Drosophila melanogaster: one gene and its partner. The protein of the gene in region 2 interacts with the protein of the main gene of each other region in a pairwise test. Each region holds a gene or a part of one and is shown on either strand. Other genes may lie near its edges.

What was found. The genes of interacting proteins can lie anywhere in the genome.
Region 1: the proteins of Cyp4p2 (region 2) and por interact in a two-hybrid assay, tested with the Drosophila melanogaster proteins (one large-scale study listed by BioGRID).

Annotation. Positions count from the first base shown.
Region 1 is NC_004354.4:18,376,821-18,381,768, forward strand, and holds por (porcupine), read right to left. Parts: upstream 3,035-4,948; 5' UTR 2,934-3,034; coding exon 1,356-2,933; 3' UTR 1,307-1,355; exon of another isoform or gene 1,230-1,306; 3' UTR 701-1,229; downstream 1-700. Other genes in the region: CG6179 (uncharacterized protein), read left to right, coding at 3,368-4,110, 4,171-4,279, 4,342-4,413; betaCOP (coat protein (coatomer) beta), read right to left, coding at 4,888-4,948. UniProt on the Drosophila melanogaster protein: Protein-serine O-palmitoleoyltransferase that acts as a key regulator of the Wnt signaling pathway by mediating the attachment of palmitoleate, a 16-carbon monounsaturated fatty acid (C16:1(9Z)), to Wnt proteins.
Region 2 is NT_033778.4:9,235,518-9,240,331, forward strand, and holds Cyp4p2 (cytochrome P450 4p2), read left to right. Parts: upstream 1-1,994; 5' UTR 1,995-2,034; coding exon 2,035-2,239; intron 2,240-2,319; coding exon 2,320-2,520; intron 2,521-2,574; coding exon 2,575-2,656; intron 2,657-2,813; coding exon 2,814-2,914; intron 2,915-2,972; coding exon 2,973-3,243; intron 3,244-3,301; coding exon 3,302-3,522; intron 3,523-3,586; coding exon 3,587-3,901; intron 3,902-3,973; coding exon 3,974-4,140; 3' UTR 4,141-4,314; downstream 4,315-4,814. Other genes in the region: hig (hikaru genki), read right to left, coding at 1-58; Cyp4p1 (cytochrome P450 4p1), read left to right, coding at 4,565-4,763. UniProt on the Drosophila melanogaster protein: May be involved in the metabolism of insect hormones and in the breakdown of synthetic insecticides.

The DNA of each region.
Region 1 (4,948 bases), on a different chromosome or scaffold from region 2:
GTGTGCCGGCCAATGTGTATCTGTAGAATTAGTCTTAAATCGAATGGATGAATTGATTGTCTGGGATTTGGGCATGGAGTTAAATATTCAAACACTTTGTTACGTAATTTTAAACGAACCCTCTCCGCTCCCAAAGAACCTGGTTAAGCAGACAATTCTGCACGCTACCGTGAATCCAGTTCGGAATCGAAAGGGAACGATCTTGGCCGGAACACACGCGTGGCTACAGATTTATATATCTATATCTATATATCTATTTATATATATATATATATATATATATAGATGGCAAACACTCTCGTTATCTCTTGTGATCGACTCAGTTGTTGTTATGAAATGGTAGAAAAGAGACGAAGGGACGGACAAATACGATAAATTAATGATGAATTCGGGTACAGAGATCGAACTTTTTTATCTAGCATAGCGCAACGGAAACAATGTCGAAATGAAGCACCGGAAACGGAAATGAAACCATAAGAAAACCCTGTATTGTATATCGCTCTATTTTTGATGTCCGAATCCAAATTTCCGAGAAAAAAAAATGGAAAGCAGAGTAAACAAAAAGAAATCTAAAAAAAACCGAAACACAAGCAAAAACAAAAACGAAGGGCGAAGTTTGGAGGAGATCAGCTTTTTTTGGCCAAGTCAGAGAAGGGGGAACGCTGAAAAAAGGGCAAATGAAACCAACAAAAGTTGCATTCAACAAAGTAAATAAAAATATTTTTATTGTCATTGCATATTTCTTAAGCTAGTACTTTTAATAACTAAATCGTAAGCGCGGAAAAACAAAGTAAATGAAAACACAAACGATAGGCCACAGCCCAATACAAAAAAGGATTCATAATAAATCGCGTGCCGAAACTAAAAGGATGGCAAATACAAACGCAGGCGAAAAATCTGTAGAAATTACAATATTGTTATAAATATTTGTCTCAATGAGAAAACAAACAAACGAAAACAACCAACCAACAAACAAACAAAAGCAAAACAAAACCAACAACAAAGAAAAATATACATTAAAAAATCAATAAAAAATATTTGAACAAATTCGTATGCATTTTCATCAGGATGGATGGGGTGGCTTTGGGGCAGTTGGAAATTCGTTTGTTCCAGTTTCCCCCAGGAGTGCTATCCATTCAGCTGGAAGTTGAGAGGAACCCAAATTGAAGCGCGTCACAGCGTCCGTTTCACAGAATGCTTTAATATTAAGTACTCACACAGCACACAGACTACAAGATACGAATAGATAGATACAAGATACAAAAAGTACAAGCGCATATACGCTTGGGATTACAAATATAAATACGTGTAGATCAGTCATAGTGAGTATTGGCGACGGCAAGATCCTGCGGAGTCTACGAGATGAACAGGTAAAGGACGAAGGTGCCCAAACCGATGTAGTGGCTGAGATAGCCAGCCTGCTGCCAGTGCCACAGGAAGGAGTCGCCATCCTCGCCGACTTCCAGGTCATCGCCCAGCAGCACGACGCCCAGATAGGCCAGGTGGAAGATGGCCAGCGCCGTGAATGCCAGATTAGTGAGCCTCGCCAGCCAGTAGGACAGGGAGTTCAATCGCCGTTTGCTCGGGCAGTGGCTATACCGACATCGTTCCTTGCCCGGACACAGATTGGCAGTGATGCAGGCATTCAGGAGGCTGGCGAGCTGCCGCCTGAGCAGCGATTCACCCTCGGCTAGGAACGCCAGCGAGATGAGCACCAGATAGATGCGCAGATCCATGCCGTGCAGCAGGCTGGACACCAGATAGGTGGAGAGCACGACCACCAGGATGCGTCCCCTCGAGGTGGACGCGGTGGGCTTGCAGGGCGCGTAGATGTACCGTTTGAGCCACTCGTGCATGGGAATGTTCCAGCTCCGGACCAATGAGCTGATCGAGCGCGGCCACTCGATGCGCCAGGGCTGCGAGATCAACGGACCCAGCATGTCCGACTCCTTGGTGGCACCGTCCAGTCGCTGATCGGAGGCTACCAGCAGCGCCTGCGCCATCATGCCCACAAAGTAGTGGCTGCTGCGCACACTCAGTGCGTCCCAGTACATGACCAGGAAGTGCGAGCTATCCCCGAAGAAGTCACTCAGCGCCGGAGCCACGCAATTGGACACGGTCACGGCCAGCACGCAGATCACCACGTTGGGCAAGAGGCGACGCAGGCTGACCAGCCAGCTATTCCGTGGCACCAGACAGTCCATGTAGCAGCCGAAGCTCACCCAGGGCCCCAAGGCGCAGGTGGCCGGACTGTAGATGTAGCCCAGGTAGGCAAACGGACCCGGAATCCTCGCCTGCAGCTGCCCACTGGCGGTCAGGTCGAAGCCCAGCGAGATAAGCTTCATATTGACCACCATCTGGATGCCGCGCAGCTGTGGCCAGTCACTGCGCCGCCGCCAAATGAGCAGTTCGTACAGGAACTGGCTGCCCACGGTTAGAACGGCCAGAACTTGAGCTCCTCTTCGTCCCAGTCGCAATAGCTGGAGCAGCAGGTAGCCCACGGCGGCCAGCAGGAGAAGTAGGAGCAGTCGGTAGCCCACCGTGATCTGCAGTATAATCAAGCCGCAGGCGAAGTGGAACAAATGCAGCGGTGCCAGGCTGGTGAGGCGTCTGCGCTGCGAGTAGAGGAGGCACAGCAGGCGGCACAGGAGGCAGAGGAGCAGCATGGGCGCCACATACTGCATGACCTGCAGCACAGATGGCTGCACGCAGCTCTGCAGGCTCTCGAGTAGGCGCCCGGCCAGCTCCAGGACACCGTGTCCATCTACCACCAGCTCCTCCTCCACATCGTCCCCGCCGAAATAATAGTCCTCCTCGCCGTTTGGCTGCCCAAATCTGTGGTCCAAGCTGCCGGCTGTCACCACGTCGTCATCCTCCTCCTCCTCGTCCAGATCAATGTAGTCCGATTCCTCCTCGAAGTACTGGTAGTCCATCGCCGGCCGCCCAAAGCCAATACAATCCGGGGGAATCAAGGAAAAACCCGGAAATCCGAGGACTTGGAATTATTTGCAAAGAATATACCGCGCAATATACCGAAAATACCACATCGGTGGCTTCGAACTCATAGCTAGTTTATAGCTAAGCTGAAAATACCAGTAGCTTAAACAGTTTTAAAAATCAAAATAAAAAAAAATGTATTAAACTTGTAAAACTGTTTGTTTTGTACACCAAGTGATGAAAAGGTTTTGTATCAGCTTATAGCTCGTTGTTTTTATCGGCTATTGAGTTGGCAGATTTCAGCGGATTTCCATTGCGTCTCAGCTTATTTAGTGATCAAGATACGGTCACACCGTATCTAGCAGTAAATAAACTATTTTAAGCAGTTTATTCAAATTTTTCGCTGCCAAATCCAGGAAACTCTATTGAAATGACTCGCCACGCACGTAACTGCACGGCCGGAGCCGTGTACACCTACAACGAGAAGAAGCGTGACGCGGCGGAGTCCGGCTACGGCACGAATGCCCAGCGCCTGGGCAAGGATTCGGTGAAATCCTTCGACTGCTGCTCCTTGACGCTGCAACCATGTCGCAGGCCAGTGATCACCAAGGATGGCTATCTATTCGACAAGGAGGCCATCCTGCAGTACATCGTGACCAAGAAGAACGAGTACAGCCGCCGACTGAAGGAGTACGAGCGTCTGCGGCGCGCGGAGGAGGATAAACTGAGCCAGGAGGCCAACAGCAAGCAGCAGGCGCGCATGGAGCGCTTTGTTAATGCCGAGAAGCCAGCGATGACACCCGCCCACTCCTCGGCCGCTGCCAGCGAGAAGCCGTCGACCTCTTCCGCCGCTGCTGCCGCTTCATCTGAATCCTCGTCCGCATCCTCGATATCCAACATGACCAACGGGCACGAGAAGAAGCTGCCCAGCTTCTGGCTGCCCTCCGAGTGCCCCAATGCCGGGTTAGCCAAGGCCCAGAAGCCCGACGCCACCATCTACTGCCCGGTGTCGCAGAAACCGCTGCGAGTCAAGGATCTGATTGATGTGAAGTTCACGCTGCTCAAGGACGGCGACACGAAGCGCTCGCTGATTGCCAAGGAGGCGCGCTACATGTGCCCCATTACCCACGACGTGCTCAGCAACGCGGTGCCCTGCGCTGTGCTGCGTCCCACGTGAGTGCTCGCTGGGATTTCGCGTTGAAAACCCTTTTAATAGTAACCTCTTCACTACAGTGGCGATGTGGTGACCATGGAGTGCGTGGAACGGCTGATCAGAAAGGACATGATCCATCCGCTCACGGATCGCAAGCTCAAGGAGAAGGACATCATTCCCCTGCAGCGAGTAAGTACATCGCGAACTGTGCAACTATTCTGCATTGCTAAGGTTTCTCGACTATTTCACAGGGCGGCACTGGCTACGCAACGACGAACGACCACCTCCAGGCCAAGGAAAAACGGCCCATGCTCCAGGCCTAAGACGAATTTATATAGCCGCCAGCTACTTGGGAGCACTTCAATAGAAATGTAATCGTTTTAGCACTAGCTAGTTTAAACAATCAATTATTTCTCCAGATTTTAAAACAATTGTGTATCATAACTTATACAAAACTTGGGTATTTTATCTGTTCCAATTCTACCTTTTCGTTTATTGCAAGACGAAGTGCATACATACTTATTGTTAAATAGGAAAAAACAAAATAAATACACTGATACTCGTACCACACAACCAATTAACCAGTAGTCCGAATTTCTATGGAAACAGCCCCGTCAAATGAAACCACTGCCAATCTTGGGGTTAAGGTATAATATTATATTCTTTATGTATAATTGTAACGTGTAATGTAAATTGAAGAAGCTGCAGCTGGCGGAATGCGGGCAGGTGGCCGAGTACGTCGTCTAGATACGTCGCTCCTGCTGGTGGCTGGTCGTCCACGTCCAGTTCCACGTCCACTAGGCCGCCTGCACCGACTGCTTCTGCGAGGAGCTGATCTTGTCGCCCAGACTCAAGGCC
Region 2 (4,814 bases):
GCTTCCGGCTTGACAATCGTGAAGCGCACATCCGGCGCCCGACAGCCTGGCGAGGCATCTGCGGATGGATAATGAAAGCGGGAAATAAGAACACTGGGAAAAAACAGTAATGCATATTATCACTTATAAATGAGAAAAATGTAAATAGATTTTGCTAAATGGGCTTTAATTGGTGTTAAAGTAAATATGTTAGTAATTATTTATAATAATAGACATTATAATATCACTTAGGCAAACAAAATTGCCATTTAGAAGTAATGAAATTATATAGCAGAGGCAACAATGTCTCAATCCATTGAATAAATCATTCAATAATCGCTAGTTTGCCTCAGTGAGGGTTTGCCAAACGAATTCACCCAAGACTTTGGCTTGACTGGAGGTAATGCAATTTCAAGTTTGCCAGAAACTCTTGCCATAAATATTTCATATGTGATCTAATTTGATAACTTGGCCTGGCTGGGAAGAACTTTCCACTTGACGTCGCCAGACTTTGAGTGCCATCGAAATTGCAAATTTCCAATATGCATTTGGAATGCAGGCAAGTAATCAGGAGGCGGAGTGGGCGGCGCAGAAGGTCGTGGCCCAAACGCACAGCTCAAGTTTCAATTTTACATGAGAGATGGAGGCCATGAGGAACTCGAGCAGAAACAGAGTCAGAGTCAGAGTCGGAATCGGAATCAAAATCAGGATTTCAGTCAGCTGCAGCGGAGAGCTCTAAAGTCGTGGCAGCATTTTCCGTTTTCCGCCATTTCCATCTCCAGTCGGCCTTCGGTAATCGCCGACGGTGGAATTAAAGTTTTCCCAGCCCAGCTCCGCCCTTTCCACACTTTTCCTTTTGTCCGTAACGTGTCATGCACTTTGTCGGAAAGTAGGTCGAGTGATGTATAATGGCGCTGGCAAATAAAATCACAGAATGCCATGTAATTGATGAATTGCAATCGCCAATTAGCAGTCCGGGCAAATGCAACAGAATGACAAAGGAAAAATGAGCTAAGGGCATCGGACACTGCCACTCAGTTGATTAAGGTGAAAGATACAAGTTAACTTTTTAAATATGCCATCTATATGAAATACTTTTAACAAAAGTTTAATGTTACCTAAAGCGAGAGTTTTAGCTGGATGTTTTATAAAGTAAAATTGCAATGCAATCATGCAATGAGAACTTTTTGCTGCATTCATGTTTATTCAGTTAAGCTAACAAACATAACATTTTATGGTATATAAGTTAAGTTTATTAAGTTAATAATTATCTCATAGCTGTGGTCTTGAACAGTTCATGAAAATAGCCTCAGATCTTGTATATTCAATGTGGATTGGGTATCATTTCATTAAAGTACTCCGATGATGTTTTTGGCATTTTTCACAAGCTCTGCTTTCGAGTTATTAAATGGCCCATTAAAGGCAAAAAAAAATATTTTATACGGGTTTTCTTACTACTGCAAATGACTTTAGCACGCTGTCGACCAAAACGACTTTAATGATCATTTGACTTCAATTCAAGATTTACGTTTTGTACCGTAAATAAATATAGTCAGTTCCTCGACTATTAGATTCCTGTTACTCAGCTGGTGGGAGTTTGAAGTAAATTTGTTAGGCATCTCGATGGAAATTAGCTGGGAAATTACAGATTTTGAATTTATAAGCCCAATTATCGGTTGTGAGAAATGTGTTTGATTTAGAGATAAATTATTCACTACTAAAGATTATTGCAAAGCACATTGAGCTTTAATAAATAAATGTGAACATTCTAGTGTATCGATTAAAATTAGACACCAATGAAAAGCTTATTGGGTGAACGTGAGATTAAATATCGACCAGCGGAGCGAAGAAACCAGCACACAAAAAAAAAAAATATATTCATACATGGGTACACTATTTATACTAACTTTATAAAATAGATCCAAATCTAATCAATTCTGTGCCGGTTCTCTGCGTTGCTGATAGTAAAAAGCTCGCGTGGATCGAGAGCGGGGAACTAAAAAAACAAGACCAAAACAGTGCTGAGAGCGAAGCCCACCGATCCAGTTCGCCCACATGATGATTTGTCTTCTGTGGATTTCGGTGGCCATACTTGTGGTCATCCACTGGATCTATAAGGTAAACAAAGACTACAATATCCTGGCCTTTTTCGCCCGAAGGGTTCAAACCAAGGATGGCAAACCATTGGACAGCTTAGTGCCCATGATCAAGGGCCGAACTGTGTTCGCCAACTGCTTCGATCTCTTAGGAAAAGACACTGGTTCGTAGAAGGTGAACATTGACATCGGGCTTCTTATCTTTATAAGACTTCTTTTCCCCTTGGTCTATTCGCATAAGTAGACCAGGTATTTACTCACTTACGCCAGTTGGCGAAGAACAGCGGAGACAGTTATCTGCAGTACTCCATGGGGTTTTCCAACTTCAATGTTATAGATGCGCATAATGCAGCGAACATATTGAATCATCCTAATCTGATAACGAAGGGTGTAATATATAATTTTCTTCACCCTTTCCTAAGAACTGGCGTTCTAACAGCGACAGGTGAGAAACGAAATCTGAAAAATGGAATGCTGGATCTAAAATTCTTTATTGCAGAAAAGAAATGGCACACGCGACGCAGTATGCTCACTAGGACATTCCATTTGGATATATTGAACCAGTTCCAAGAAATCTTTATGTAAGTGCCTTTCGTAACAATTTTTATTTTACAATATTATGGACTTTGGATAAGCAGTCATCTTTGTCTTACATTTGTGTTATTTTCCTTATTGTATGAACAGGCTTACATACTTATGAATGAATCAATTAAACTTTTATAAATTTTCTTTTTTCAGAGCGGAGAGCTTGAAGTTCGTAAGTCAGTTCCAAGGACAAAATGAAGTTGTGGTTTCTTTGAAGGACCGCATATCCCGATTTACCCTAAATAGCATTTGTGGTACCTAAAGATTTAATGTTTATAGTGGCTCTTTAACAATCAGTGATTTCTTACATAGAAACTGCCATGGGAATCAAACTGGATGAAATGGCAGAGAAGGGCGATCGCTACAGGGCGAACTTTCACATAATCGACGAAGGACTTACCAGGCGCATAGTAAACCCGCTCTATTGGGACGATTGTGTATACAACATGTTCACGGGACACAAGTACAACGCAGCTCTAAAAGTGGTACACGAATTTTCCAGAGAGATAATCGCAAAACGCAGAGTACTACTTGAAGAGGAGCTGGAAAATAGAAGAGCCACTCAAACGGCTGACGATGATATGTGAGCTTATTTTGAAATTACTTATTCACATTAATAAACTTCCTCTCTCGAAAACCAGATGCGTGATTAGAAAGAAACGCTTCGCCATGCTGGACACCTTGATTTGCGCCGAAAAGGATGGACTAATCGACGATATTGGGATTTCTGAGGAGGTGGACACGCTGATGGCTGAAGGTTACGATACCACATCCATTGGTCTGGTCTTTGGCCTAATGAATATGTCTCTATATGCCGCTGAACAGGAACTGTGCTACCAAGAGATCCAGGAGCACATTCTGGGTAAATCAGTTCGCTGCAATCGTAATCGTGAGAATCATAAATTTTATTCTTCGTACCGTTCTAGACGACCTGAGCAACCTGAACCTAAGTCAACTAAGTAAACTAAATTATCTGGGCTACTTTATAAAGGAAACCATGCGCCTGTATCCTTCGATTCCCATCATGGGTCGTCAGACACTCCAGGAAACGGAACTAGAGAATGGCCTAATCCTGCCGAAGCGCTCTCAGATTAATATACACGTCTTTGACATCCATCGCAATCCCAAGTATTGGGAATCGCCCGAAGAATTCCGCCCAGAGCGATTCCTACCTCAGAACTGCCTGAAAAGGCATCCTTACGCCTACATTCCCTTCAGTGCTGGACAAAGGAACTGCATAGGTAAGAGTACAAGTCTTCAAAATATACGGTTCTCATACATATGTGTATTATCTATCTCTTTTAACCACAAAGGCCAGAAGTACGCCATGCAGGAGATGAAGACCCTGATGGTGGTCATCCTCAAGCATTTCAAGATTCTGCCTGTTATCGATCCCAAGTCCATTGTCTTCCAAGTGGGCATAACCTTGCGCTTCAAAAATAAAATAAAAGTCAAGCTTGTGAGGCGGAATTGCGTTTAGTGTTTATCGATTTTAGGATATTCCTTATTCATGCTTACTAAGTGCTAAATTGATTTAAGTGCGTTGTTGATATTAGATGACTAATTAACCCTGACTCTCCAGTGCTAATCGTCGTAGCTTGGAGCCATACATTGGACGAATATTGTTAACAATAAAACCGGTTATCCCACATTCAAATGAAACAAGCTTTCATTCAAACAAACTAGCAAGTCATTCATTGTTTTTGTTAGATGAATTCAACCACAAATCGTAGCTAGTCGAACGCCAACAGCGGGAACGCCACCGTGCAATCTAATCAGTTCAAGCAGCTTTTAGGTGTAATTTTTGCTACAAAACCGGCTGATAGTATGAGCTGTTTATATAGAAATCTGCGATAGGTGCAATCAGTGTGAAACGAGAGTTCCGTCAACGCGGTTGTGCCAAAATGATTATCTTGTGGCTGATTCTGGCCCTAAGTGCCCTGCTCTACTGGCTCCACAGAGCCAACAAGGATTACCACATCCTGTCCTTCTTCACCAAAAGAATTCGATTAAAGGATGGAACCCCTGTGGAGATCATCGCTCCCATAGCCAAGGGAAAAACAATATTCGGCAACACCCTTGACTTGTATGGGCGAGATCACGGTGAGTAATAGCAAAAGCCGAACGCTGGACCCCATTTGGCTGATGTAATGA